Linked DNA regions of Arabidopsis thaliana. The protein of the gene in region 2 interacts with the protein of the main gene of each other region in a pairwise test. Each region holds a gene or a part of one and is shown on either strand. Other genes may lie near its edges. The genes, in order: LCBK1 and AT4G33940.

Region 1 (17,274 bases), on a different chromosome or scaffold from region 2:
CATCTAGTTTATGTTTCTTATTCTTGTTTGCTACAATACGACTGACACAAACCCTCATCTTCTCATACAAAAAAAGGTTCGATACCATATAAGTGATGCATAGAACAATAGATGAATATATTGTTCACTCAATTAAGACAACATGGTTACAACGTAAGCACTTTAAACCTACTGAATTGAATCTGCATGTACTACAAAGCTTTTGCTGATAATTGAGATCCTTATGGAAAGAAATAACCTGCAAGAGAAAGTTGTTGCTAAGCCTGTTTCACGCCTATAAGAAGACTATCCATCTTTGTTTTTTACTCGTCTGTTACTGTTACTCTTACTGTTATTGTTACAGAACAAAGGAGTGTTTCCAAATCAGAGATGTTTCAGGTCACATTCATCGAGGGAAACACAAACATCATTAATCATGGTATCAAGGATACAACAACACAAACTCGATCTTTGTCTTTTTGGAAGTCGAGTGAGCTAGGAGCTGCGTAATCACCTTTCAATTTCAAGTTTTCATCTCGTTATATGTTTCTTGTCTCACTAAATGTTGTTAGAACCAGAAACATCCTTAATGTGACTAGTTTTCTGTAAGTACCACCCATAAGAACCTCAATACATCTTCAATGAAACATTATATTATAGATTGAAACTGAATCAAAACTCAAAAGTCACATCTCATCACATTATGAAACGCATAAAGTACCTCCATTACCAATAACTACCATCAAGATCTAATATAATAAACAAAACACAGGCCGTAAGAAAGAAAAAAAACACACGCAGAAACATAAAAAATGAATCAACACTTTAACTTCAAACCACACCGTCTGCTTTACGCTTCCATCTCAAAGAAATCTCCTTTAGCAACGGCCTCACATCCACTGAATCCAAGTCTTTCTTCGACCAGTCATAGAAGAATTCTTCGTGAACATCCTTGAGGAATCTCAAAGCAGTATTCAATGGTCCTTTCTCATCACTCTCATCTATCTTCTTCTTATCTTCTGAAAACAAACAAGACTTGTCTCCAAAATACTTGTACCTAGCAATCTGCAGCAAGTTTTTCTTGTCATGAGGCCAAACACTACTGGTATCATCAACAATCACAATCCCACGTTCATCAGCCAACACAAGATCAAGCGTCTTAAAACCAGGACTCTCTCTTCTCGTTATAACCCGATTGCCAAAGTAAAACTTGTCCGGATCAATCATCTCCAACACGAGCCGAGCATAGTCATAACCACCCTTTGTGTAAACGTACATAGAGAACATCTCATTACATTCTTTCAGAAACTGGTGAACAAAAGGTCTCAACTTTATCAAAGATTCTTCAGGAAAGCCAGTGTTGAATCTCTTTATATCTTTCCTCGATTCAACTTCCTCTATTATATACTTTTCAGATTCATAAAGCAGTGAAGTTTTAATGGTGTGAATAAGCGTCTGGTCCAAGTCAAGTACTAAGTGAAGCTTCTTGTCTTCAAGCCAAGAGGTTTGAGAGATGAGCCCTTTTGTAAAACCTAAAGCTTCGTTACTCATCTGCATCCCTTTGTAGAGATAATCAAAAGATCTGCCTTCGAAATTGTCCACTGTTGTATAGCAGGAGATACAGATCTTATTGCGGACGAACCAATGATTGCAATTAGGAGACGGAGACTCTATGGTCTCTGGATTGATCTTACGTCTTTTGGATTGTGGCTCAAGAAAAAGGTTTTCAACTAGAGACATGGTTTCGAATCTGAATCTACGAGAACTAATTGAAACCGGACACAACGAAGAATCACCTGAAAAGCTTATGAAATCGACTCAAAAACCTAGACTTTTTTTTTTTTGGTTACAAACCCTAAAGAGCAAAGAGTGAAAAGCTGCGAAATTTGTTGTATACTGGAAAAAAATATGGTTTTGGTAATTGAGGTTTATATAGAGAGAGCGTGGTGAATCAAATAAAAAATTCCTTTTTTCTTCGAAAGCACCGACTCTCGACGCGCCAAAAGGCCCAAAAGGCCAAAACCCTCGTCATCTTGACCACTATACCCTCGATACTTATTAAATGCAATGAGGCTTTGAATCTCATGGGCCTTAGTTTTTTTTTTCCAGCAATTTCCTTTGATTAAAGCCCAAAGGCAGGAAATACAGAAGGTTCAAAAAAATTACATGGATATAAGCCCAGGCCAAACCAAATTAAAATAAAGATAAACAAGAAACGCAAGTTGATTTAGTGTCTAACACGTGTAACGAACGTGTCGTCCTTAAGCCACGTGTCATGACGTTGAGCCTCATTGTCGGGTTCACCGGGACACCGCAAAAATTCCGATCAGCCACCGTCAATCGGCTTTGAGGCGATGTGAATCCTCTTTCCTCATGTCGATCTCTAAGCTTGAGCCCACAACGCCAAGTTTCTTCCGGATTTGAGTAGAAAAACTGCTTCAAAAACTCTCCGATTAACGCCAACTTCGGGGAAGCTCCATCACTGGCCACACCTAAGTTGATGTAGTTGAATCCTTGCTCAAACATCATGAGCAATAGGGGAAAGATGAATATATTATTCCTCGAGCAAATTGGCGGAAACAAAGAGGATTGTGAAGAAGAGCGAAGATGTCAATAGTGTCAGGAGAGTGAGATCGAAGACTCGCAAGAGCGAGAAAGTTTCGGACATAATCGAAAACAAAATCAGAATTATTAAATCGTACAAGGCGAAAATATACACTGATCCGGTAAACCGGAAACAAAAAAACGAAATCTAAAACTTCGATTGAGATCGGAGTAGAGATCCTCTCCCTCTGATAGATGCGAGAGCGAGAAGAAAGAGATCTATCTTATGGGCCTTAGTTCACATACCATCCTTGATTATTCAGCTCAAGAACTTTTCTTTCTTTTTTTCTAAATTAACATTAAAATATTTTAAGAAAATTTGCAACTATGTTCTAAAATTTAACGTTCTTTTCTCACTGATGGAAAATATTTTGTGACATTATATAAGAGTTTCCAATTTCAACAATAATTCATTGTTTCGAGTTTGTTATTTCATGTAAAAAAAAAACATGTGGAACATATGTACACATATCTCGTGAATTATATCCCAATAAGCTCGTAATTAAGGGTATGATTTTTCATACATCATACGTTCAAACATTATTAGTTTCCGATCTAAGAAATATATGAATTGTTTTTCTAAGAGTTGAAATGTACGTATTTCTCAAGTTTCCATAAAGGTAAGCTAATCCTCTTTATGTTAACAACGAGAAAGAATAAGCTAATCATCTTTATAACTTTTCAAAAGATGTGTGATTTTTTATTTTTTGCTGTTGTCAAAAAAAAGATCTGCACAAAACGTGTTACAATCTACCATGACACTACAATGAATATTCGACAAAGAATTAATTGCATCATTATCGTTATCGTTCCAAACTTTATTGAAGTAATACAAAAAATAAAGCAATAATGCCTTTAGATGTGCCCAAGCTTTTATAATAAGAAAGAAGAAGATGCCCTTTTAACAATTCTTCTTAACGAAGCATCACTTGTCTGTTGGTCGCCACATCCAAATTCTAAATTGAATGAACCAAACCAATATAACATTTTCCACTTTAATAATTTTATTTTGACTTGTTTATGTAACAATGGTCGGGACCATCTTCCCATCTACCAACTTCTTCCACTATTAAACCTTCTCTAATCATCCTTTTAAGATTATAAGGTTATTACTTAAGCTAAACCATCATCAACTAACATAGCATAATCGTTTTCTGAAAGCTAAATTATTAAATCTGGCTATGGAAATATTGACAGCTAAGCTAAACCATTTTAAGAAATTTTTTGTTTGTTATATTCAGAATATTCGGCATCTATAGTGAGAAAATATGGTAAACTACAAATAGTAGTAGTAGTTTGTGACCAATAAATATATCATATCTAAATTTGGTGTAACGGTGGTTGACTTTCTTATCAATTTTGAAATTATTTATTTGAAAAAATAGTCGTTTCTTTTGTCAAGATTCAAGAACATAAGTAAATTAACAATCATATATTAAATTTCTTTGAATGTGAAAGTCGGTGATTTTTCTTTAAATAGAATTAGGTTATATCATGGCAATTTCCAATTTATGTTTTTTTTGTAGTTTCTATAATATGTCAGAAATCACTTAGCATTATGGTTTACGTCACCAGTCACTTAGATACATATAATATATGGTATATCATTTCAACATCATGTTTTTGTATTTGAAAGTGTTTTCATTTTTTCTTTTCTTTTTGAATATCTAAAAGTTCAAACATGAAAACTTTACTTTCCCTAAATTTAGAATTCACATCTAGTTAAATTCATATTTTTGGAAAAAAAATTCATCCCAATAGAAATATAATCCAGAACTTCTACCTGTGAGATTTATCAATGGGCCAACTCCGTATTGATAAAATGTTTTCATTTATCTACAACTTCTTCTAATTTTGATTATAAGTAAAATTGTCATCGTTTTTCTATGTAAATATTTAAATCCACGTATTTGATGTTCCTTCTTTTCTATATATAATATATAATATAAATAAAATGATTTATTGTTATTTAAAGATTAAAAAATAATTATAGTGTTTGATGTTGTATCTAATTGAAAATAATATCAAATATCTCATTATAAATTTAAACAATTAAATTTTTAAAATATAGATATATATTTGGTTTATGATACTACGAGCGTTAAAAACTCAACTCAACTCATTACCCAATAAGTTTATAGCTAAATGAGTATATGAGTTGACCCAACCAATTTGTTTAAATGGATTAACCTATGCAATTAATAACTGTTTAAATAATTAATAAAAAAACTATTTATAATGATTATATGAACGTAATTTGTATCGATTAACGAGAGTAATGGAATGCAATTAATGCACTGTAACATTTTTAAGTCAATAAAACTTCACATTATTATAACAATTCACGATTACAAGAATGTCTAAAACATAACCAAAGCTATCCACTACCATTTGAAAACATCATTCATATTTTTTTTCCCTAGAAGCTGGATCTCTAAGATCTGATCGAATAACATTCTAGATCAACTTACTATACAAGAAGAATGAACCAAAAGAAGAAAATAAAATTGCAAATCACCAATTGCAAAACGGAAAAGGAATAACAAATGAAACAAAGAACTCGTCTCCAACAAAAACGATAGAAGAAGAATTAACGAAAAAGCTCTGATACCATATTAAACTCCGATGATCGGAGAAGAGATGATAACGAAAACTTAACAAACTTTCATTACACACATAAGTGTTTGTTACAAAGCTTAATTAATCTGATCATGAAAATAAGCTTATATAGTATATACTTCTCTCCCAAGTCATCTACAATTCATAACAAATAAATATATAAAAAATCATTTAACAATAGAAGAAGATGAGACATGAAATCATATCAATGATATTGTATCACACTTTTATCGTCAATCACAAAACCATATAACCAGGAACAAGTACACAATATAGTTTGGACATTGTTAGGAAAACTTTGATTTATGATTTATCGCCTTGTTATATATGAAATTTTTTAAAACATTTCCAGAAAATATATATGTATCAAAATTAGAGTTTATATGATTTATCTTAGATGGATATTATACTTTGATAAATAAAATTTGTTACTTATTAAGTTTTTTGAAATATAAATAACATTTTTACTGAATTTTAATAACATTGTTTTGTTTCATTTTATAATCAAGGAAACAAATTCAAATCTAATTACTAAAAAAATTCTATGAGAATTCAAATTTACCTACTAAATATATAAATATAAAGTTAGGACTAAAAACTTATATTAAAAATGAGGGGTTTTAAAAAAAATATCTTGCGAATAAAGCAATTGCAAGAATAAAATATTTCGAAAAATAAAGTACAAAATAATTTTAAAACATAGCCATTAAAGTAACAAATACTACTATAATATCATAAATAAAATAGATTAAAATTTTGGAAAAAAGAAGTCCAAAAAAAGGTTCTGTAGTGGAAATAAATCCGAAAGGAGGGGGCCATAGGTTTCTGCTGTCGAGTCGAATCCAATCGAAATCGAATCGAAATTGAGTCGAGTCATCATCTCCTCCGCCATTATCGTCTTCTCTCTCTCTCTCTCCGCCACCTCTCTTCAATTCTGACGCTTCTCAGATCCTCCGATCCGGCGGCGTTACTTTTGCTGATACACTTCTCTCCATTTCTTCTTTTTGTTCGCCGAGAAGCTAAGGTAAGACGAATAAATAGCTAAAAGCAAGCTCTGACGACGATTTCGTTTTCAGATTCGTTTATCATTTGCTTCCGATTCCTCATGATCTGTTGTATAGTGTTCTTATTTTGATTGAATTTCCATCAAATGCTGGTTATAAATCGATCCATGGACATGAATTTTGTTACAGGAGAATTCTTCCTGAAAACGCGTTGATGGATCTGATGTATAGCTACGGATTAGAATTGTGTAATTCTCTCTAAAATCTGTTCGTTGACCAGCTCGAACGAGGTTTGATTGGGTTTCTCTGTTTATGCTCATCAGGGGTTTTGTTTTGTGTATGCCTTCCGATCACTGTTTGTCGTCTGTTTCGTCCGCGGAACTCAAGAGCAGAGAGATTGTTAGTGTACGGATATGCAGAAGAGTGGTGTTAATCGGAACCCTTCTTTGAAAGTAGCCATTCCTCAGGCACAACAGTCGCTTAGACGTTTAGGTTTTTGCTCCCAAATAGCTACGGGTGGATCTCAGCAGTCATCTCCTATAGTATTCCCTGAAAAGAGAAATAAGAAGGTGAAGGCATCTTCGAGACGTGGTGAGGTTACTAATGATCCACAGGTGAAACCGAAGCCTGATGAGCATCGGATCGATATTGGTGGAGGGGATGAGAAATCAGATTTGTTAGGTAGTCTTGTTTACGCTGGGAAGCTTGTGTTGGATAAGAGGAAATCTGCGAGTGGAAAAGATGCAACAGAGATACAGCAACCAGCCGCTACGGACATCTCTATTAAGAAAGCAGTTGATGCAAAGCTTACAAGCAGCGCTTTGGTTTGGGGTTCTGACATGCTACAGCTTAACGATGTTGTCTCGGTAGGTTTTTGTTGGCCTTGCAATGAACTAATTAACTCTGTGTTTTGGAGAACTGAGTCAACAAACTTATCTATGTTTTCCAGGTGACATACAATGTTGGTCTTAGGCATTTCACTGTGCATGCTTATCCAATTGGCAAGGGTTCTTGTGGCCTGTCTTGCTTCACGAAACCAAAGAGAAGCCGCAAGGATTTCCGCTTTGTCGCACCTACAGTAGAAGAAGCCGTTCAATGGGTGGCCAGTTTTGGAGATCAACAATGTTTTATCAACTGTTTGCCACATCCTTTAGTCGCAAAGAAACAGGCTTCGTCTGAGTTATTTTCGGTCCCCATTGATACCCCTCCTGAGTTGGTCTTCAGGTGTAAGAGTGCACCCAAAATGCTTGTCATATTGAACCCTAGGTCAGGACATGGACGATCTATCAAAGTTTTCCATAATGTCGTGGAACCAATTTTCAAGGTACCGTTCCCATCTTTTTGTTCTTTTTGGATGTTGTAGTACTACATCATCACATTATTTCCACTTTTAGGTACCCTAGAGAACCATTTCCATTTCTCCAATCCCATTATGCATTTTTTTTAATCTTGTTTATGATTTTGTGAACTGTCACAGCTGGCCGGAATTAAGATGGAGGTTGTCAAAACAACTAAAGCAGGTCATGCGAGAGAATTGGCTTCCACTGTCGACATTAACTTATGCTCTGACGGTACCTCTACTTGTTCCAACACTTAATGATATGTTTAACATATCTAGCTTCTAATATGCATATATTTTATCTTACATATCTACTATTACTTACGAGTTCTTAATAATTCTTCCAGGAATTATTTGTGTTGGAGGGGATGGAATCATCAATGAGGTGTGATAATTACCTTTCCTAAACTATACTCATTTTTTCGCCCTATTTTGGTTAGGAGTTAAGTTCATGAAGTGATGTTCCTTTTATACCATACTCCCGGTTACTTATCTGCTTACAAGCCCTGGTGCCTGAACGTACTTCGGAACCAATTTTGGTATTAAAATGAAACCTTATTGGCTTATTTCAGCGTGCTCACACCACTTTGCAAGCATGTTGAATAATTTAAGAGTTTAGATACTCTAATCCTCCAGAGCGAGGACTTTGGGATGCATCTTATAGGGAAATACTTGCTCGAGTTGAAACACATGAGAACTTTCACTATTGATTTTTCGATTGATGTAGAACTCTTTAGGTAGACTAAGATGGATTCAAAAGACTGCTTTCGATGTTAACATCTCCTAGATTCTATTTACTTGGAATGAACTCTCATCTCAAGGCCTGCCTTATTTCAATGTTTCAGGTTCTTAATGGTCTGCTTACTCGAAGCAATCCGAAAGAAGGAGTTTCTATCCCAATTGGAATAGTACCTGCTGGTTCTGATAACTCGTTAGTTTGGACTGTCCTTGGTGTAAGAGATCCTATTTCTGCAGCACTCTCTATTGTGAAGGTAACCCCGCCTAAAATCCTATTGGTCCCTGCTTTGTTTTATCCAGCCGCCAACATTAATTAGCTTCTACTTAATTAATATTTTCTCAGTGAAAGATTTTTTTTTTTTTGGTTTAGGGTGGCCTAACAGCTACTGATGTCTTTGCTGTTGAATGGATTCATACCGGTATTATACACTTTGGAATGACTGTTTCCTACTATGGTTTTGTTAGCGATGGTAAGTGAGGATACCTGTGTGCTTTGTCTTGTATGATTTTCTAATGATAAACAGTTTCTCAAGTGTAGTTAGGTTTGAATCTGTATTCCTAGCTTCTTTGTTTCATTCACCGTGTCTGCAACTGTTTAGATCTTTCATGCATTTTAGAGGAGAGTTTTTAAATCTTCCTTACTGTAATTTTTCAGTTTATCTTCTAAATATTTTAACTGGCACAGTGTGAACACTATGCTGACTCCCAAGACACATAATTTCATAGAATATTGCAGAATGTGCACTCTTCTGATGATGAGTTAGAAGCAGAAAATCGCCTAGTTATTCAAACGTATCATGGATAAACTCAAATACATTGAACTTGTGCAAAAGGCTGTAAATCTCTCTCCATTTCTTTAACAGCTCCGGTGTGTGTTTGATGTATTAGTTTGAGCTATTGGACGCTGTCTCGTGTTTGACGTCAGGATTATTGCACATATAATTACCTTCATGAATACTGTATAATGTTTGTGGCATTCACCTGCTATAACTAAATTTCATGGTTTTTCTTGTCATTATCTATTTGCAGTTTTGGAGCTCTCTGAAAAATACCAAAAACGGTTTGGTCCTTTGCGTTACTTTGTTGCTGGATTCCTCAAGTTCATGTGTTTGCCGAAGTATAGCTATGAAGTGGAATATCTTCCGGCACAAAAAGAGGATGCAGAAGGCAAAATTCGACTTGAAAAGGAAGCTGTGGATATGCAAGATCTCTACACGGATGTAATGAGGAGATCAAGCAGAGAAGGATTTCCTAGAGCCTCCAGTTTATCAAGTATTGACTCCATAATGACCCCAAGCGTAGGCGAATTAGACACTTGTAGCAGCACACATGCCAGCACTGAGCCGTCTGAATATGTCCGTGGAATAGATCCTAAAATGAAACGCTTGTCCTCTGGAAGAAGAGATGTTACGGCTGAGCCAGAGGTTATTCATCCTCAAGCACAGTCAACAACCCCTAATTGGCCAAGGACAAGATCAAAGTCAAGAATGGATAAAGGATGGATGGGGTTAACATCCGTGCAGGATCCTCCAACTCGATGTTCATGGGGGAATACCGGTGGTCAAGACAGGGAAGATATATCATCTACTGTATCTGATCCAGGTCCAATCTGGGATGCAGGACCCAAATGGGACACTGAACCGTCTGCTTGGGATGTAGAAAATTCGATCGAGCTGCCTGGTCCTCCTGAGGATATAGAGACAGGACTGAGGAAACAGAGCATCACTCCAATATTTGAGGATAAATGGGTTTCGAGAAAGGGACATTTCCTCGGCATCATGGTCTGTAACCATGCTTGTCGGACTGTGCAAAGTTCCCAAGTCGTGGCTCCCAATTCAGAACATGATGATGGTACAATGGATATGCTCTTGGTTCATGGGTGTGGAAGACTGAGGTTACTGAGGTTTTTTATACTTTTGCAAACAGGTCGACACCTTTCTCTTCCGTATGTTGAGTGTGTAAAGGTAAATTATCTTTCCTATTTTCTTACATTACGAAACCTGCAACTCGCTATGTGCTAGGAAATGCTAATCAAACGGTCAAACTCAATGCAAATATTATAAGTCTAGAATAGAATGTAGTTGATCAAATGCATGACAATTGCAGGTGAAATCAGTGAAGATAAAGGCGGGGAAAAATACGCATGACAGTTGCGGGATAGACGGGGAACTGTTTGCATTGCATGGAGAAGTGATATCGACAATGCTACCTGAACAATGCAGACTGATCGGTAACGCTCCTGGACGACATTCATAGTTAATTAATCTCATCTAAATTGTGAGGATGGTGAGAGAGTTTGGATGTTTATATATCTGGAATTCATTTTTATTGTTTTTTGTTTTTTGTCGGCGTCAAGTTTACGGTAAGTACCATCTATGTGATAAGAGAAGCAAACATGAGAGAGTATACCAAGTACATCCTTTTGTGCCATAACTTCCCTATAACTCTAAAACCCTTTGTATATTCTTTTGCCCTTTTTTGTGTGTTTTGAATTATATATGTACTGTGTACGTGTTTTCTACAACGATTTGTGTGTTTCCATTTCTTTGTTTGGATTAGTCGATCAATAACGAAATAGATGATTTGAAGTAACGAGGTTTTTGGACTAGGTTAACTAGGTGAACTTCTAAAGTGATATTATTTGTGGATTAAGAAGATTTTATTCGAAGATATTTAACTGATAGAGATTCTTTCTGTCTGACTCGGAACTTTGAAGCATCAGAGTCTCACAGATGAATATAGTAGAAGCCGCACGTTCCTCATCCCGTGAAAAAGGACACACGTCTGACTTCTTTATATTGCTGGGTCTTCTTCTCCCTTTCCTTTTTACTTCTTAAAGTTTAAACCTTTGTTATTATCCATTTCATTCACATGTTTTTTTTTCTGTCTGCTTATCATTTACACGTTTCTTGATTTGTTTCATTCGAAAAAAAATCATATTAAATTGCATCCATATAAATTTGTAGATGAAGATTTTGACATATTAAAAAAATGTAAATGCATATTTTAGCATCAATTCTTCCAACTAATAATGATAAAAAATTTCCATCGTTTGGAAATAGTAGACACTATCACACTAATGATCCGGTAGTAAACCATGTGCATGAGCCATGAGGTTAATTTGCATTCTTTCATTTGATTTTCACTCCATAATCTTTCGTTTTTATTTGGTCAGTCAAAACTCAAAATAATAACACATCTAATTTTAGTGGCTTATCCGGTGGACTGACCATCTTCAACTATACATTTTGAAAATTATTTGTATTTTAGATCAAAATTATTTATTATTAACAAAAATAAAATAAAATACAACTTATATCCAATGATATATATAAACATATATATCAATGGTCAAAATTTTTATAATTTTTAAAATTGTAAAGCAAAATATTAAGGTCGTAATAGTAAAATGTTAATTATATCTTCCCACTGAAAAAAGAAAAAAGAAAACGAATCAGTTTTATTCCACTTGCACAAATCTTCTTCACACACATTTTTTTTTCTTCACTCGGACTGATATGAGTAGCCAAATCGCTTTGTCACCGGCCATCGCCGCCGCCATTCGCCGTCCGTCCTCTCACGACTGTCTATCCGCTTCCGCCACTACTGCTACCGCCACCCCCATGGCTCTCAAATCTTGCATCGTCGCACCTCTCTCGCTATTCACCTCTCAATCTCAAATCAAACACTCAAGCTCAAGAAAAACTTCTCGAACCACGATTCGATGCGATGTAGCGATAAAATCCGCAGATTCGATAAACGCAGACGCCAATCCTTCGTCCTCACCGTCATCAGAGGAAGAAATCGAAGCGGAAGCGAAGGCGAAGATAGGATCTAGGGTTAGAGTAACTGCACCGTTGAAGGTTTATCATGTAAATCGAGTTCCAGAGGTTGATTTAGAAGGTATGGAAGGTAAACTCAAAGATTACGTTGCTGTTTGGAAAGGGAAACGAATCTCAGCTAATCTTCCTTATAAGATTGAGTTCTTCAAAGAAATTGAAGGTCGTGGTCTTGTTAAATTTGTTTCACATCTTAAGGAAGATGAGTTCGAGTTCATTGATCAGTGATGAAACAAGAAAGACAATTTTTGTTTTCCTTTCTCAGTGTTTGTTTTTGTTTGTTGTGTTTACTGGAACCTGGGAATGGAGAATGATTTGTATGTAGTGTGATGTGTATTCAACCTTTAGCAATCATATACATAAGGGTTTCTTCACTCTCTATTTATGTTGATTTGATTCATTGGCTTGATCTTGTTATTGGTTTCTTAGTGTTCGATAGATTGGAAGAAACGAAAAGTTGGATCTAGATGTGGTTTCTTGATGATTAATAAGGGCAATTTTAGGCTGCGGTTGTTTCAAATGATTCCATTAGCAAGATCAAGATCCAATTTGGGATAACACCTAGTTTACTATGTTTGCTGTTTAAGACTAGTATCATTGAAGTATCTTGAATTGAAAGGGTGGATCTTGGTCATGATGGTAAGGGTGATTAGGGAGTGGAGCTCAGACTCTCTACTAGATTGAGTTAGCACTTGAGATGTTACATAGTGTGGATCGTACTTGAGGAGTCTTAGAGAAACAGTTCCTTAGGTATTCAGATGATTTTCCTATATGCAAATCTGTGTTGTCTCTGTTTGGTTCATGTGTCTTTAGCTTATAAAATATGTTTGATTTTGAATCAAAGGTAAACTATTGTCATTCTCCTCTTCTGTCTTTTCTAGTATTTGTGAATTCAGCAGCTTCGTGGCTGTGGTATTGGTGATGATCTTTATGCTCGTGGTCGCATTTCGTCCTAGTGAGATAGAGGAGAAGGCAATCTAGATTTGTAGTCGTCATCAATCGCATTTTGATCTAGGAGATGATTGAGCTACGATTGTTAGTCTTTGAAACCTTGTGAATTTCAAGCTTTTGTTGTTGATAGAGTATATAAGCTTAAAGTCTCTAAAGGAAAGTGCTCCAAAATATGTCATCCTTATGTTTAGTTGGTGGGTCAGATTAGGCCCGTTTTTCGTTCGTGGGTCAGATTCTAGGCCCGTATCGGTTTAGCTATTCCTATTCTCATAAACTTTAAAACAAGATATTTTAGGTAGAGAGAAGCGAGTCGTCTTAGTCAAATACATATGCCCTAAGGTAGACAGGTTCATCATCATAGATATCACGAGTCTGTCATTATTCTCAGAAGAAAACTAAAAAAAAAATCTTAGTAATATGTTTAGATTTTGTGAGGAATATTATTATGGTTGTTTGATCAACTCTAACGTACTAACACGTCCATGTATCACGTCTTCCAAAGTTCAACGTTTTATAAAGATTGGAGTATTAAAATTGGAGTGGATGGAGATTCGAGCTTGCATATGAATAATACAATAATTGGATTACAAAACTCAGATTTGGTGACAGCACATCTAGGCCAAGGCCAGGCCAGACCATGGTGGCAATGATTGATTTAGCTTTTTAATTAGCTAATGCATTGTGCGCTTTCAAAAGCAAGCAGCCAAAGTATATGTAATGAGGGACAAAGTAATTTAAACTCTAAAAAGTCAAAACGCTTATATATGTCCGTAATTTTAGGTTTCTATTTCAAAATTTTGTAGTTACTGTAATCTTGTCTTTAAAAGTTGTTACAATCATCTTCCACATAAAAACTTTATCTTACCGAATGTTTATTTAATTAACATCTATCCATAAAGTTGTTTTCTTGATGTTACGTAATTGATTTCTACCACCTAATGAATTTCTTCTTTAACAAGAGAATATAAAAAACATGATTTTAAAATAGGTGTTCCTGATATTTTAATGTAATGTGAAATGTCAATTCTACTTAAATAACATTGCACCAATAAATCAAGTCCCTAATTCTAAAAATTCGACGACGGATAAATGATTAAATTAACCATTCAAAATAATTATGAATTTTTGGTTAAAGTCAAGATTCAAGAAGCATTGCAACATTGAAATCATGGTTTCACAAAAAAAAACTCTTTATTAAATAAAAAAATCTTTTGTTTTTGGAGTTAGAGTTTGTGTACTTGTAAAATGTATGGGATCGCTCATGGCCCCATGCAATTAGGTAGTCCGTTACTTTCAAGCCAAACCTTTCACCATAATTTTTTTGTCTATCCAACGTTGGTCTATCTACTGACTGTCACTGTTCTTTCATTATGGATACAAAGTTACATTTTGCTGTTGGATCGCTCACTTATTTATCCTCACAGTACGTTATCACTAATATTGTATAAAAATACTTTGGAAAATAACCGATAAGTTATATGATCATTGCATATTTGTTTTGGACGAGTTTTTTAAATGTTAAGAGATACTAGAACTGAAACACTTGTACATAAATTTTGTAACTTTTGGACAAGGGTCCATGATAATAAATTTATTTAACATCTAAGCAATAATCACCTATTAATGATTACATCGCCATTTTCCATTATAGCACCGACAGTAGTTTCATAATTCCATTATATAAAATTTCGGTCAAAACATTTTCTTAAGGATTAATTTGCAAACCGCGATTTCAGTTGTGCAATGTCTCCCCTTTTTTAAGTCTTTTATTGATTAAAAACTATTTTTGGATATGCACTAGTACTATTTTGTTCCTACAATCAGAATGTATATACTCTTTTTAATTTTCCACTGAATATACTCTTATGTAGAATAATTAATTGTTATTGTTCATTTTAGATGCAAAATACAAACATGATGGTTTCTGACAAAAAGAAACCAATGGTAAAAGTTTAATAATTTGTACTCTTCCTTGTAAATGTAAATGTGAATAGTAGCAAGATGCATGAAAAATGAGGAACTCAAAGAATTAAATGAAAAAATTGTTTTGGGAATTTGAAATAGAGAGAAGAGGGAGAAAACTTAAAAGAGAGAAGACGTAGCCAAAGGTTAAAAAAGTATCTCTCTCTCTCTCTGCGCCTCCCTTTTTGCTTCTCTCTCTCTCTTCTTCTTCTTCCTTGTGCTCTGCTCTCTGTCAATCTCTCTCTGTCTCCTTTTTTACTTCGCCATTGGAGAAAAGAGAAATCACTTTCAACTTCTCCTTAGATTTTCCGCTTATCTAAGACAACAACGAAGTTCCGAGTATTCCTCAAAAAAATTCCTCCTTTATCATTTCTTCACTTCCCCAAATTTTGTGTGTTTTCGTGGAGCAGAGTGAGATTGGCGTTTTGGGAAGACGAAAGTTAAGCCCTTTTTTGCTGGGTACGGCTTCCATTTCCTAAAGGCTTCATTTTGTATCTTTCCCAGAAATGATTTCTGGGTTTTTGATCTGTTTCCCGTTTGAGCTTTCAGATTGGTTCAGCGGTTGAGAAAGCGGAGATCTTGAGGGCTGCTTGCTTTCTTCGATTTCTCGAGATTTTGGTTTTGGTATGGTTGTTGAGAGTGTAATTTGAATGTCCTCCACTTCAAGGGTTTCGTTTCCGCCATGACCACCAAGCGAGCCTATAAGCTTCGTATCCTTTTCTTACACCAATTTTGATTCTTTTCGTATTTTTCTCTGAGATTCTATTTTTAGGGTTTGTTCTGTGTCACAAGTGCCGTGTTTGATCTACTGCTTTTATTTTGATATGCACGAGATCTGTCTGTGTTCATCTTTTTTCATGTTTGCATTTGTTCCCCGTGGAGTAATTTAATTTAAGACCTTTCGAGAAACTTGTCTGTTTAAATTTAAGACTATTATGAATGAAGTCAAGTTTGAGTTTTGACTAGAGTCTCTATCTGGTACCTATTGCTTAGCCTTGACTTTCTGTGTGGTTTAAAGAGGAATTTGTGGCACATTCTGCTGCTGTCAATTGTCTTAAGATCGGAAGGAAGTCTTCTAGGGTTCTGGTAACAGGTGGTGAAGATCACAAGGTCAATCTTTGGGCTATTGGTAAGCCCAATGCCATTCTGGTCAGTTCTCGGTCTACTGTTTCATTATGTGTTGGTTATAAGTTAGTAGAGTGTTTCTATGGGATTCACTCTTTCTGAGTATCTCATTTGTGCTTGTTTGTTGTCAGAGCTTGTATGGGCACTCAAGTGGAATTGATTCAGTGACGTTTGATGCTTCGGAGGTCTTAGTTGCAGCAGGAGCTGCTAGTGGTACTATCAAACTTTGGGATTTAGAGGAGGCAAAGAGTAAGTTTTGTAGTTCCAAGAGACCATTCTTATTGGACTCGATTTGACTTCTGTGAGTACTTACGTGTTCTTTCACTTGCTTTGTTGAGTAGTTGTCAGGACTCTCACTGGTCACAGGTCCAATTGCATCTCAGTGGATTTCCACCCTTTTGGTGAGTTTTTTGCGTCAGGCTCACTAGACACAAATCTTAAGATATGGGATATACGAAAAAAGGGCTGCATCCATACTTACAAGGGTCACACGCGAGGAGTCAATGTACTCAGATTCACCCCAGATGGTCGCTGGGTTGTATCTGGAGGAGAGGACAACATTGTTAAGGTTGGTAGCTGCTTTCATGTCACTAGTCATTTTTCAGTTCTGGGTATGTGATTTTATCTTCTCTACTGTGGAGGGAAATACAGCTGCTTAGTTGACATAATTAGTTTGGATTTACCTTTGGGAGAATTTGGAGCAATGAAACTGCGCTTTTGGTTATAGACTATGAACTGGCTTTCGAGAGTTGGTAGGAATAAGCTTTTGTTCTAATTCTCTTTGTATGTATCTCATGAATGACGTTCTGTAGTAAGCATTGCCCTTTAAGTGTGGAGGAGAACTTGCGACTATTTAGTGTTACCTCTCTGCACCTGAGCTGAGTATGCTATATGAGAGTATTTAGGACGTACTATTCTTTTGCATTTTGCTAAAACCCACATAGACCACCCTGGCCAACTATTTCGGATGCTTCATCTCTCTCGGTTATTGCTTCTTTACCTCTCTCAGCGCACTGTATTGTTATCTTGAAAAGCAATTTACCGGGAACCTTTTTTTTTATCTTTCTGTGTGTTAATGGATCTGATATGCAGCTTGTCTTTACCAGGTTTGGGA
Region 2 (14,299 bases):
CGATGGAAATCTTCGCCGGCGTAAACGATCAGATAAGTTTCCGATGAAAATCTTCGCCGGCGTAACGAACCTCAATATCGGGACGCCTTTCGTCGATCCAATGAAGCACCACAAATTTCTATTTACTTTAAAATATATTGTTTTATAGTTTAATGATCAGATCTCGTTGACCAGTTTGTCATTTTCTTCACTGGTCAACAAATACAAAAAAATGCGCCGAATTTATCCTTTTTTTTGGTTGAAGTTTGGTTGCGTAGAGTGGTTTAAGTTTTGGTTCGATGGAACTTGAACGTTTTTGTGATTTGAATTAGGTGGGCTTCTTTTGAGTTGTTTTGCTTCATTCAGGCTGTCGATAATGACTTGGAATCGATCTTAGAATGTAAGGTGGATATGTAGTCCAACATTGAATTGTGTTTATGGTTAAAAAGTAAAGAATGATTATTTATTAATTATATACAGTCAAATTAGAGAGTCTTAAGCCGAGATCAATACATTATCCAACGAAATTTCAAATGAGTTTATTTTCTTAACTAATAGTCTATATTCTTGCAACTTCTTTTTGATAACCAAATAAAATGTGTAACCATTCTACAAATGATTTTCATATAGAGATTTGAGTTTAGAAAAGAATAAGCAAGAAGAAGATTCAAGTAGCCTTTGTGTCGAGAAGAAGGTTCAAGGAGCTCTCTTTGTGGGCTATAGAACTGTTGTTTAAGAAAGAAGGTGACTCATTTAATGTTTGGTTCTTGGGGTTCACAGAGCATTGTTCACTGAAGAGAGATGTGATACTAGAGAGATTCTTAGTGAGCATTGACAGAAATAATAGTAGTACTAATTAAGTTTTTTTTTGTTTGATGAATCTTGTATGCATCGGTATAATATGAGTGGATATGCAAATGTTAAAAAAAATAAAATGAATGGATCTATATATGTTGAAAATCACCCTATGATCCATAACAACGATAAATACGCATCCATAATGTTATAAATGTAAAGGTAAACATCATGATCAAAAAAGTTCGACAACTTGGGCCAATGAATTTCCAGTTGCTTCCGCGTATATATATAAGTCCTTCCACGTCAATTTCTTAATCCCAAAATGCAAACCTTTTTATAACAACCAAATAAAAATGTGCCACTTGTAATTAAATATAAATTACTCCATAAGCAATAATATTCATCGTTTTAATAGTATGCTCTAGAACACAGCACACAAAGATTTGTTTTGACCAGAACATGTTTTTTTTCTTATACCGGAAACGGTAACGTGATAATAAAATTAGGTTAATAATAATATAGATACTAAGATGACTAGATTATTAGCAAGAAATTGTATTCAGTTGTTATCCGTCTTTCTTAGTTGACAAGCAAATATATCAGCTACACGTTGGCTACAGGTTACTCATCCTTACCCATTCATTATTCGCTCATTATAACAATTTCCCACTGATATATTCAAATACAAAATATATAAGACACAAAATAGAATTAATTTATTGCTATTTGCAGACGATGTAAACATTTTTGTAGACATGAACAATTTAATTGATTCTTTACTCATCGTAGACATGAATTTATATTTCAAAAGGGTCTACTATTTCTAAATAATATTCAAACATTGACTCTGTAAATCACATATAAATAAATATATATATTATACACTACATTAATATAATATCTCCTATTTCAAAAAGAAATAAAAGTAGCTGTTGAATTTAGATATTTTTTTGTTGGACCGAATCAGAATTTAAGTTTTTGAATTGTTCCAGAAGAAAGATATTTTAGTATAATATACGGCAATGACGTTTATGTTTGGGCCAAAACTTTGTCTATTTATTGAGAAAAATAAAGCTAAATGGAGAAGAATAACAAAAATAAACAACGCGTTGAAAAAAACTGCAAAAAAAAAGAGAAGGGGGAGGGCGAAATTAAAACAAAACGACGCGTAGTCTACGTAGCCTTCTAAGAAACGGCACAAGTACAAGTCATCTCTATCAATATTCTTCTTCTTCTTCCTCACGCGGTTTTCTTTTACCACCACCAACTCAACACACACACGAATCCCTTAAAACCGATCAGATCAAACAAAAACGAACGAATCAAAATTCAATAAAAAAAAACCTTTCGATTTCTCTCATCCAATCGAATCGAAAATCTTGTTATCTCTTTCTCTCTAACTCTACTGCACTCAGAATCTCTCTGTATAGAAAAACCCTAAGTAGGTTGTGATGTTGCGAGCTTTAGCACGGCCTCTCGAACGGTGTTTGGGAAGCAGAGCTAGTGGTGATGGTTTACTCTGGCAATCGGAATTGAGACCTCACGCTGGCGGTGATTATTCGATCGCGGTGGTTCAAGCCAATTCCAGGCTTGAAGATCAGAGTCAGGTTTTCACATCTTCTTCTGCTACTTACGTCGGTGTATACGATGGTCATGGTGGACCTGAAGCTTCTAGATTCGTTAACAGACATCTCTTTCCTTATATGCACAGTAAGTTATAATCCCACTCTTCCTTCCCTAAACTTGTTTTAGGATTCTTTCTTCTTTTGACTCTTTGACTACGTTTTTGATGGTCAAAACTTATGAGATCTCTATTACCCTGATCATTTCAATATTAAAAGATTCGAATTTTGCTATGAAGTTTTGGTCTTTGTGAACATGTTCAGGTTTGTAAATTGCCTCTTGAATTGATTTTGTAGTCATGTTCTTGTTAGTGAAATTTACAGGATTGGTTTTATGATTGCAGAATTTGCAAGAGAACATGGGGGATTATCTGTAGATGTTATCAAAAAGGCATTCAAAGAAACAGAAGAAGAGTTTTGTGGTATGGTTAAACGATCCCTTCCCATGAAACCGCAAATGGCTACTGTAGGATCTTGCTGTCTTGTTGGTGCAATCTCTAATGACACACTGTATGTTGCTAATCTTGGGGACTCGAGAGCCGTTCTTGGAAGCGTTGTTTCAGGGGTTGATAGTAATAAAGGTGCCGTAGCTGAACGGTTATCTACTGATCATAATGTTGCTGTTGAAGAAGTGAGAAAGGAGGTTAAGGCACTTAACCCTGATGACTCACAAATCGTCTTATACACACGTGGAGTTTGGCGGATTAAAGGCATTATTCAGGTATAACTTAGTTTTGCTTGCCTGCTTGTTAAATTGCGTGTGATTACATAGCATCTGTGATGAAGTTATAATATTTAAAAGGTGTAATCTGATGTTGTTTTTTCTTTTCTCTTTTCATTTATATAAATGGGGGCTTGCAATGTTCCAGGAATCCGTCACACGGGCTCCTGCAACGTTTCTTCCCCAGTGGATTTTGTGCTTTTCTAAGAATTCCCGGTAGTCAGAGCTATACATAATAATGAAGATACATGCTTTTTAGTTGCTTGTGACCTTTCCGTGAATGTTTGAGCTCGTTGTATATTAGTTAGCTAAATCGTTTTCATATACGCTTCTTTATAGGTATCGAGATCAATTGGGGATGTATACTTGAAAAAACCGGAGTATTACAGGGACCCGATTTTCCAGCGACATGGAAATCCCATTCCTTTGAGGAGACCCGCGATGACAGCCGAACCCTCCATTATAGTAAGGAAGCTTAAGCCACAGGACTTGTTTCTGATATTTGCATCAGATGGTCTCTGGGAACATCTTAGTGATGAAACAGCCGTAGAAATCGTCCTCAAACACCCAAGAACTGTAAGTTTTCCCTAAACTCAAGTTTGCTTTGTATCTTCACATTTATGTTAGCTACTTAGTTTATTTATTTATTAACTCTGTGTTCTACAGGGTATTGCCCGAAGACTTGTAAGAGCTGCTCTGGAAGAAGCGGCAAAGAAGAGAGAAATGAGATATGGAGATATAAAGAAAATAGCCAAAGGAATTCGACGACATTTCCATGACGACATAAGCGTTATTGTAGTTTATCTAGATCAAAACAAAACCAGTTCATCGAATAGTAAATTGGTGAAGCAAGGAGGTATCACCGCTCCACCGGATATCTACTCATTACACTCTGATGAAGCAGAGCAACGACGGTTACTCAATGTGTTATACTGACTGTTTGATTATGGTAAAATGGCTGCTTGGGAAAGATCCGAATAGGGAGAAAACTTGTTTACATATTTGTTTATTTGTTTTTCTACGAAGAACTGGTTTTTTTTTTTTTTCAATATTGGAGTTGGATTTGTATATTCTTTTACCAGCAAAGAAGGTCGAAACCCTTTAGTTTTTGGGCAAAGCAGTTTTGCTTTTGACACAAACAATACTTTTGTATGAAAATCTAGTGTGAAACCGTTGAGGACAACTCTTCATATATCAGATTGTTTTTTTTTATGACCTTGTATGGAGAGATTAGTATATTGAATTATTTGTCTATAATAACTAAATAAAAACATTATCGATCACAAACCAAAATAAGCCAACAAAATTCCAGATGTTGCCTAAATTTTGGAAAATATGCATGACAGACATTCGAAACTTCAGATCCAAATCAAACCGAAATTGAAATTTGTCAAATATCTAAACCGAATTGAACACGAGCGGTTTTTGAGAATATGAAATTGGGCAGAGCAATTCAAACTCAAAAATTCAACAATTCCAGAAGAACTTTCTCAGAAAAGTTTCGACGGAAGAAAAAGCAAAACGATGAACGTCACTCTTTTGGTCGCAGACGCCGTTTGGTCGAACATTGAATCAACCGGTTCAGGTACTTCACCATTTTACTACTTCTCTCTTTCCTTTTCCTTGTTTACGACATTTTATTCCGTTGAATTTTCCATCTTTTTCTGCAGTAACCGAAGAACAGCTCTCAATGTCAGTTCTCTCTTATACATAGCTGGGATTCTTTATTTTTCCCGAAAATATTTATTGATTTTTCTTCAGTCGTTTGGTATGATTAGGGTTTATCGATTTAATTTTGCAAATACAGCTTGCAGCTGTTGTTTGGTAAGAATCTTGAGAAAGCCACCAGAATAATCGACAAGAGAGGCGTCAAGAAAATATCTGGCTTACCCAGTGGAAGATCCATCTTTCAGGTTTCAACAGTTCTCTCTGGTTAATAAAAGCAATCATATTTGATTATCTAAGAAGATTTGTTTTTTTGTTTGGGTTTTCAGGTTGTGGGGGAATCTCAGAAGAGAGAAGAGTATCTCTGCTTCCCAGGAGATTACTGTGGATGTTATTCTTTCTTCTATGATGTTGTAAGCAGAGGAGAGCACCAATGTGTAAGATTCTTAATCAGAATGCTTCCTTTTCTGTTTAGAGATTTTGTATCAATGTTACTGACTTGTTATATTCTACTTTTCTCTTTTGGCTAGTGTAAACATCAATTGGCTGCGAGGTTGGCTTCTTCTTTGGGTACATACAACGAAATCGAGGTTTCTGATGACCATCTTGCCTTGATGCTCTCAAAGATCTGAAGCTTTCAATACAACTACATGTCTTAGGCTTATAAGTGCCAGTAACCTGGGAATGATCTGTGTCTTTGAGAATTATATGGATCAAGATTCTTCACATGTTTGATGAACAATGTTGCTTCACCTTTTATGTTTAACTTGCTGTATATAAGTCTTGAACTGCTATATTTTCAACTTCTTAATTCAGTGGAAGAAAACTATGAACTTTGTAAAAGTAGTATTCATGCATAAAACTTTTAGTGACTCGTATACAAAGATTAATTAATCAAAAAAGCGTAGAATGGAAACAAACTCAATGATCAAAGAAAGGAACAAGTGGATTTAGAGTTAGTGTGAAGAAGGGCGGGGAATGGGGTGGACAGAGAATTTCATGTTGTGGTTGCATTCGTTGTGGTCTCCACTGGCGAAGTAGTAAGTCTGAACCTTACGGAGAAGCAACTTGAAGCCTCTTGATGATGAACCTCCTCGTGCAACCAGCTTCTTGCCTCTGGCCACATTGCATCTCTTGAAGCTCTTCATGTCTGGGAGCAAGTAGACGTCGTTCTTCTTCTTGTTACGGTGCTTCGTCTTGGATTGGGTTTGATCATCGTTGTTGTACTTGAAAACAAGAACATCGCTGACGTAGAATGGGGCATGCTTTGCTGTCCATTCTGTGTAACCGTATCCGTTTTTCCATACAGTAACCGCAATCTTTCTTCCAGCCGGTATTGGAGCCGTGTGGTTGTGTGTAGAGCCAGTGATGCTGGAGTGGTTTGAGCCAGAGCTGTGATTGTTGTGTGTAGAACCAACGATGCTTGAGTGATTTGAGCCAGAGCTGTGATTCTTGTGTGTAGAACCAAGTATGCTTGAGTGGTTTGAGCCAGAGCTGTGATTGTTATGTGTAGAGCCAGTGCTGCTTGAGTGGTTTGAGCCAGTGCTGCTTGAGTGGTTTGAGCCAGAGCTGTAACCGTTGTGTCTAGAGCCATTGCCGCTTGAATGGTTCGAGCCAGTAGAGGTGTGACCGTTGTGTGTAGAGCCAGTGGCACTTGAATGATTCGAGCCAGAGCTGTGACCGTTGTGTGTAGAACCAGTGCCGCTTGAATGGTTTGAGCCAGAGCTGCTTCCCCAACCCCAGTTTGTATCTGTTCCGTCGGAGCTCCATCCCCAACCCCAGCTTGAACCACCCGAGTTGGAGTCTGAACCACCTGAACCCGAGCCAGAAGAACCGCCAGAGTTGCCGGATCTCCATCCCCAACCCCCGTTCGAACCGGACTGGCCAGAACCCCAACTCCAGCTCCATGCTTCAGCACTCCCGGAGAACACGAACGCAGTAACCATGAGGACGACGAGTAACTTACGTCCACAATAAAGAACCATCATCGTGTCTTCTTCTTCGTTTTTTTTCTCTCTCTTTTTTTTTTATGGCTTTTGTGAGCTCTTCAGAGTTTAGAGTTTCGGTATTTATAGAGTAATGAGAGTCGGTTCCCATTATTTAGTGAATATAATTTTATTTGTTTTTTTAGTAACAGTAATAGGATTTTTTTCTTTTTCTTGGATCAAATAGTAATAGGATTTTAAAAGTGGATAAATCTAGCTTTAGTTATTATTGTTTGAATTTTGATGAGTCTTTTTTTTTTTTTTTTTTGCATATACGATTAACATTGCTTAAGGATATTGTATATATCTTTAACACACAAAAAAAAAGATATAGTATACATAGTTTTGTTTGATATTCTTTTTATTTTCGCACAAAAAAAAAAAAAAAATCTTATTTATACTATAATGAATCTAAACATCTGTCCACCTTTAATCCAAGTACCTCTCCCAACTACTGCGACTAAATGACCCATTTGCCTAAATGTAGTCCTTTACCTTACTGAAAATAGCGAGGACAAATCAGTCATTCACCGCCCTAAAACACGCTTTGACATGTATTTATCCATTTACTGTTATTTTATCTGTAAGAAATCCAAATAAACTCATTTCTGTAAATTAGGAAACTTCTGAGAAAGTGACGAAAGCGAAGAAGGTTTCGGAAGTAAATATGTCTTCCTTGGGGAGCAGCAAATCCCTGAGGGATGAGATGGAGGTAACAACCGCCGATGTTTTTCCGGAGGTTAACGCCGCCGCTGTGACGGAAAATCTTGATCGGAACGAGCTTGTGCTTGCTGACGGAGTCGTGTCGGCTGAGGAAAGGAATATTGAGCCAGACAATCGTGGAGAGAGGAAGATAGAGAGCGAGTCGCCTCCAGAGGATGATGTTTGCCCGATCTGTTTCGGCTCCTTTACGGTTCCGTGTCGTGGAAATTGTGGTCATTGGTATTGCGGTTAGTCTTTTCATCTTTCTTCTTCTTCTTGATTCTCTTGAGCCATTTCATCTACATTGAAGTATCAAGCTTGTGTCTTTTTGGGATATTTCTGTTCGTCAGAGGTAAATTTGGAGAATTGTTTGGGTTGGAATTGGTTTAGGGTTCCTTTTGGTAGCCAAGAATGATTTATCACAACTGATTAACTTTTGAAAGTGTTGATTTTTAAACCATGCTCTGTTACTATGGAGTGTTGTTTGCAATGTCATAAAAAGATCTGAAAGTTTCTTAAACCGGTTGCTGATTTTGTTACAGGAAATTGCATCTTGCAGTACTGGAACTATGCTGCAATATCTAGGCCTTGCAAGTGTCCCATGTGTGTTAGGCACATCACGAAGCTGTCACCAGAACCATCTTTGCAAGAGCGTCAGGAGCAAGAGGTGAAGGAGGTTCTTGATAAAGTCCGTAGGTATAACCGTCTCTTTGTTGGAGGTCTAACTGGCTTTGTTCAGGTACGGTCTTTTTGATTCATGATTTTGTTTTGCTTCTCTTTACTGTTTCATGCATTTCTTATCTATGTATATACTTATTTCTCCTTTTTATGACTTGGCAAAACCACCATCTTTCGAATAATTCAGAAGGTGCATGAGCTTCCGTTTCTAGTGAAGAGAATGGTGTGGCATATGATGGATACAGATGTGAACAATCTGTATTTTCACGAAGTGCGCATCTTTGCAGTTAAGAACATCTTACCCTGAAATTTACATTTCATAGTTTAGTGTTTAGTTATATCTCTACCCACTTATTCTTGTTGTCATTTGTTGTCTGTACTAATGGCCAAGCAAGACAATCTTTGTAATCATCATAGGAGCAACTAGTTTGTATTTATTCTTGTTTTTAAAGGCCATTGAAAGATGAGAAACTAAGTTTCTGTCGGTGTTTGCAGATGTTCATGAGTACCCTTTACACTGCCGCAGAGTTTAACTTCATTCCAACGGGTAAGTTGCCTCACAAATCAAAAACCAGCAATGAAGGGTTAAACAATCTCAATGTGGTGTGTTTAAGGCTTTTAAGCTTTCCAAGATTGATTTTGCCCTCTTTTGTACAGGCGGGTTCAGAATAGTGACAGTTTTTGACTACGCTGCGATTGCTATGATCCTGATTCTACGCTTAGTAGGGATATATCGGAGGAGACGCCTAGCTCAGCAGGTTAGACATCTAGCAGCTGCAGCAATTGAGCCGGAATTAGAGCAAAGGGAATTGTAACAGACACGTGAATCTATTAAGTCTTGTGCAGTTTGATCCTTGTGGATAAGTTTGGTAGTAGATCATAGAAACCTCGAGAGTCGTGTGCAGTTTTACAGACAATGATATTGCAGACTTTAAAAGTATATACATATCTCCTTTTCTAACAGTGGAAATAAAATATTGATTGGAAAAGATCTCTCTGGAAAAGGATCTTAATCTTTGATTAGATGATCAAAGGGTTGAACAAATGTTCGAAGAGTAGAAGTGGATATTCTAAAAGACGAGTGATGAGTGATTTAAAGATTCAAAAATTTCATAATTATCTGAAATAAAATGATGGTAGAAGAAAGAAACAGTGCCTGTGGTCTCGAAACAGTGAAACGACATCGTTTTAATTTCAAAAAGACACCGTTTCTGTTTTAATTAATTGCTTTCAAATCAGTAGAAGAAGAAACATCGATTGAGCTTTCTACTTGAAAACCATCTTTTCCGATCTATCGAATCGGAGCGGCGAAGGAAGGAGAATGGGTGTCCGTACAATATCTCAGGAGGCATTCGACGATCTGGTTAGGGAAAATGTTGAAGATCTTGGTATGGATCCCTCCGAAGCTCTCGAAGACGCTCTCTACACTCTCAAGCTCCAAGGCGTCGATCTCTTTGGTCCGTTTACATTCTCTCCTCTCTTTTTACTTTCTCCAGAAATTGGCCTTCCTCTCGAACTGGCGTTAGTTCAATTTGTGTGTTTGTTTATGGTACAGGGATCATTACATGTGTTCCTGGAGAAAGTAGCGTTAAGGACAATCCGGTGATTGCTTGTTTAGATAGACTAAAAGAATTCGACAGTGTTTCAATAGACGGACCTCTTCGAGATGAGGTTTTCGATGAGATATCGAGTTTGTTCAAGAATCTCAATGAGCTTTGTAGCAGCCAAGAATCAGGGAACGCTGCAATTGCGACAAAACATGGTGCTGTGGATTTAACTTGCTCGATTTGTTCCAAAATCAAGATATCTACTAGAAGTAATCGTGTTCTTGTTCCTTGCTTTAAGGCTTTGGCTGTGTTGATCCGTGGTATGACTTCTGTTCTTGAATTAGTCGTTCTTGTGTGTTTTAACTTTGATTTGTGTTGATCATGTGTTATTCAATTGCAGACATTCAGAGCACAGAGAGATTCAGGAATTGTACTGGACCAAATATCGTTGTTGATCTCTTAAATGATTCCAGCTCCGATTCTGATTTGTTAGATGCTGGTTTTGCGGTTGTTGCTGCTGCAGCAACTGGTAATGAAGTTGTGAAACAGTTATTCATGGAACTGAAAATCGATGAACTTATTCTGCAAGTGTTGAATAGAGAGAGTAAAACTACCATTAGAGCTCTGTACGATGCTATTTGTGCTCTTTTGACTCCAGATGACTTCCGTGTTGTTGCTTCCCAAGTAAGTATGGTTACATTCGTTTGGTATATGCCACTTTTGACTGCGGGAATGAAATTAAGGGAAAACAGCTATATAGCACTTAGCAAACATTTATAATCGTTGTTTTTTGTGCTTATTCATGGACATGCTTTGAGAATTCAAATCCACTAGACTTTTGCTTCCATGTGTTTCAGGTTTATGGTTATGCACGAACTTTTGCCAAATTAGGGATTGCGACAGCCCTCACTGAAGCATTACAGGCAGGGATTGGCTCTGATAGTTTGGTGTCAGCAAGTACTGCGTTAAAAGCAATTGCTGTCAATGTAAGTCTCCTAGTTGAAATCTCTGTGTGATAACATTTATCTGGTTAGGTTCTTGCAAGTTCTTCATCTGGTTTTGCTGTAAACAGGATGAAATATGTAAATCTATTGCTGAATCCGGTGGAATAGATACACTTCTTCGGTGTATTGATGATAGCGGTGAGCAAGGCAACAAAACTGCTGCTAAGACATGTTGTTCCCTGTTGTCTAAGGTGAGTAGCTTCTAATATGCCCTGCAGGCTGCCTCTGTTGTCTTCATTGCCTTTGGTTATTCAAAATCCTTCTTTAAAACTCAGGCTTTCAAGTATTTTCCGCACCATATTAAGGAGTAGCTTATGTTCATGTGCTTCTAATAAATGCATGTTCTCAAATTTTAAGCTTTTCCAAAGCCTATTACTGATTTAGATTAGCATTGTAACCACGCATGATAAATGTTTATCTAAAATTTGTATTTTGATCTCTAGTTGGCAGGAAGTGACTCTAACAAGAGTACCATAGTTGAGAAGCAAGGTCTGGACAAGCTAATCACACTCGCACTACGATTCTCTGATGATCCTCTAGTCATACAAGAGGTAAGTATATAAACCAAACGAAAACCCTCTTATGACACTATGTCCCATGCGCAATTTTAAATCTTCCTGTCTAGAGAAGATACTTGTGACTACAGGTCACGTCTTTGGCAGTTTTCCACTAGATAGAACGTAATGTCGTGTGAAGAATGTTTCTTGTAGCATTAGGGTCTGAGTGCATAATCCTTGTGGTTGATCCAAGATATACTTGATTGGTTCAGGTGATGTTGATAATCTCTATAATCTGTCTGAGATCACCAGACCACGCAGCCAAGGCTATAGAAGCTGGAGCTGGTGATCTAGCGGTCCAAGCAATGAAGAGGTTCCCAGTAGCTGCTCAAATGCAGAGAAACGCTTGCAACATGATACGGAACATTGCTGTCAGAAGTGCAGAGAACAGGTTTTTGCTCTGTTTCCAATTCTTGTCATCCAACAATATGCACATATCGCAAACTCTTTTATAATATCAAGTTCTGTCTGCATGCACACTACAGAACTATTCTGCTTGCTAATGGAATCGAGAAGCTGATAAGAACTGCTAAAGCCAACAATGAGACATGCAGAGCCGCTGCAACTGATGCACTGAGAGACCTTGGCCTTGATAACTACAATAACTAAGGTCAATCTTTCTCCATTGGTTGGTACTCGCAACAACCGGAATGAATCCAGTTTTTTTTTTCAAAAATTTCATAAACAGTTTGCATTGAGTTCTCTCTTTTGGGTAGAAGGCATTCCGATCTAGTCTTTTTTGCAACGATTGCTTTTGTTCGAATGCTTGAACATGTAGTAAAATTGAAAGGAATTGATTGAAAATTTCGGTGAAAGGTACTCTAAATAGTAAAAAAGTAAATAGAGAAACAGAGGCTTCACAATGAGAAATTTTCATTCATTCACTAAAATCATTCGTTTAGTCAATGAATTTCCTTTATTTAGAAGAAATCGATTTTAGTTTGAAACAAGGACAAAATGTTTGTTTGACTAAAGGGAAGAGAAACAAAGACAAAATGTTCACGTCCATGGAATGATCGAGCTCTAGAAGAGTGTATTGGGAATATTAAGTACGGATATATGTTTTTAAAAGATGATTAAAAAAAAAGTTTGCAGCAAAATCGTCATGTGGATGCGCATAAACAAAAACTTTAGATAGTAAAAATGATGGGCTATAGTGATGATGAGTGCAACTCTATCGGTTTCAGCTTTTAGGTGAAGATCTGACAAGCTAGCCAACAATATCTCGACATTTGTGGTAACTTGTTTTTCTTTTATTTTCCGTTTTTAAATGCGGAAACCCTTTTTATATACCGAAATAGAAAGTAAATCTTTTTAGTGGTCATTAATACATGGAGGTTCCCATGATTAGCCATAAGCTTGTTTAATGCGAGTATATGTTTCATCAGCTCCGTTTCAGGACATATTTAAGGGGCAAAATTAATCCAGTAGCCAAAAATGTACATATGTAAGGGACATATTACGATATTAATATATAGATCCACTAACAGAAAAACTAATTGTTAATTTAAATTATTTCTATTTCATTTTTCACTGTGTTTGATTAAATTAAATTGGGATATAAAATCAATTCAAAATCTGTTATTTTAAATCTCATACCATTCTAGTGCTATATTTTTGAAAACTTAGATATTTTTAGTAACTGTTCTAGGCATAAATTTAATCAATTAATATTTTCATATTTTTTGCTATACTATTTACAATAAGACATATAATAAATCGGAAAAAATTAATGCATAATATTATGGAGAGATAAAACTTACTGAAAAATAAAGAGTAACAAATCACATAGTTTATACTAATACTTTGCCAATAAAAAGAAAGTTTATACTAATTAAAATATTATTTTCTATACTAGTCACGGTAAAAAAAAACATTTCTAAAAACTACAGGCCCCATTGTTTGTCAGAACGTTGTAAGTAGAAAGGGTAAATCCGTCATTTCAAACTATCTCCCATGCTTTGACAAATCACAATTCAACAGTTCACAGAAAAAGCGAAAACTTCTTCTATCTCTCTCATCTTTCTGTTTTGTATAGCTTACTTCAAGCTGTGGTTTAAACAGAACAGAGAAAGCTGTTTCCTTTTTATATTGACAGAGAAAAGGAAAGCTGATAGAGAGAGAGACAGAGAGAGAGAAACAGAGTTCAAGATCACGAGCCTTCCTTCTTCTTCTTCTTCTTCATCGAGAGCGATCAAAGGAACAAAAAGGATCTCAAGAAACCCACTTGTGTTGTTGGTTAGATACTTCACGGGTCTCTGAAAACGTCTCTTTCTCACAACCATAACTTGATCACCCAATACTCCTTTTCTCATCTTAAAGGCTCAAATTCATCCACGTCACACCGTTGTTCATTTCCTCTGATGTCTTGGTGTCGTTAGATATTGTCTCCCAAAAAAGAAATCTTCTTGACACAGAGATTGAAGTCGCAAAGAGACAGAGGAAAGAGGGGGAGAAAATGGATCGACCAGCAGTGAGTGGTCCAATGGATTTGCCGATTATGCACGATAGTGATAGGTATGAACTCGTCAAGGATATTGGCTCCGGTAATTTTGGAGTTGCGAGATTGATGAGAGACAAGCAAAGTAATGAGCTTGTTGCTGTTAAATATATCGAGAGAGGTGAGAAGGTCAGTTTATTTTCTTCTTGTTTTTTCTCCTTAGTCCAATTTTATTTTATGTTTCAATTCACTAGGTTCTTGAATTCAAAAGAAATCATTTTTGTGTGTTCATCATCCAATGAGAGATGTGTGTTTGGTTACTTTATGGTTATGAATGGTTTAACCCTATAGATTTACAAAATTGATTGATTTTTATGGAAGACCAAATTTGCTCTGCTTTGCTTTATGACTTATGTTGTATAGTGTTGTTTTAAAGGCTCTAGGTGTTTCTTTTGTTATGGAACGTGGTATTAATGGTGGGACTTTTTGTATTTGTACAGATAGATGAAAATGTAAAAAGGGAGATAATCAACCACAGGTCCTTAAGACATCCCAATATCGTTAGATTCAAAGAGGTTTGTTTTCAACTCTCTTTTAAGCT

The links.
Region 1: the proteins of AT4G33940 (region 2) and LCBK1 interact in a protein complementation assay, tested with the Arabidopsis thaliana proteins (one large-scale study listed by BioGRID).

Annotation. Positions count from the first base shown.
Region 1 is NC_003076.8:7,898,306-7,915,579, reverse strand, and holds LCBK1 (long-chain base (LCB) kinase 1), read left to right. Parts: upstream 1-5,994; 5' UTR 5,995-6,226; intron 6,227-6,395; 5' UTR 6,396-6,619; coding exon 6,620-7,072; intron 7,073-7,155; coding exon 7,156-7,530; intron 7,531-7,683; coding exon 7,684-7,777; intron 7,778-7,892; coding exon 7,893-7,930; intron 7,931-8,272; coding exon 8,273-8,317; intron 8,318-8,390; coding exon 8,391-8,537; intron 8,538-8,653; coding exon 8,654-8,753; intron 8,754-9,312; coding exon 9,313-10,247; intron 10,248-10,389; coding exon 10,390-10,539; 3' UTR 10,540-10,872; downstream 10,873-17,274. Other genes in the region: AT5G23470 (Haloacid dehalogenase-like hydrolase (HAD) superfamily protein), read right to left, coding at 811-1,719; AT5G23460 (uncharacterized protein), read right to left, coding at 2,173-2,508; FTRA1 (ferredoxin/thioredoxin reductase subunit A (variable subunit) 1), read left to right, coding at 11,802-12,350; AT5G23430 (Transducin/WD40 repeat-like superfamily protein), read left to right, coding at 15,718-15,745, 16,054-16,184, 16,292-16,409, 16,502-16,728, 17,267-17,274. UniProt on the Arabidopsis thaliana protein: Involved in the production of sphingolipid metabolites.
Region 2 is NC_003075.7:16,258,648-16,272,946, forward strand, and holds AT4G33940 (RING/U-box superfamily protein), read left to right. Parts: upstream 1-7,371; 5' UTR 7,372-7,437; coding exon 7,438-7,720; intron 7,721-8,014; coding exon 8,015-8,211; intron 8,212-8,337; coding exon 8,338-8,436; coding exon of another isoform or gene 8,437-8,457; exon of another isoform or gene 8,458-8,645; coding exon 8,646-8,697; intron 8,698-8,807; coding exon 8,808-8,965; 3' UTR 8,966-9,237; downstream 9,238-14,299. Other genes in the region: AT4G33920 (Protein phosphatase 2C family protein), read left to right, coding at 2,229-2,487, 2,744-3,120, 3,460-3,696, 3,787-4,056; SSN2 (zinc finger SWIM domain protein), read left to right, coding at 4,645-4,705, 4,791-4,812, 4,928-5,033, 5,115-5,222, 5,316-5,417; AT4G33930 (Cupredoxin superfamily protein), read right to left, coding at 5,742-6,773; AT4G33945 (ARM repeat superfamily protein), read left to right, coding at 9,472-9,607, 9,706-10,017, 10,098-10,381, 10,555-10,683, 10,770-10,892, 11,145-11,252, 11,471-11,649, 11,744-11,867; OST1 (Protein kinase superfamily protein), read left to right, coding at 13,717-13,887, 14,199-14,273.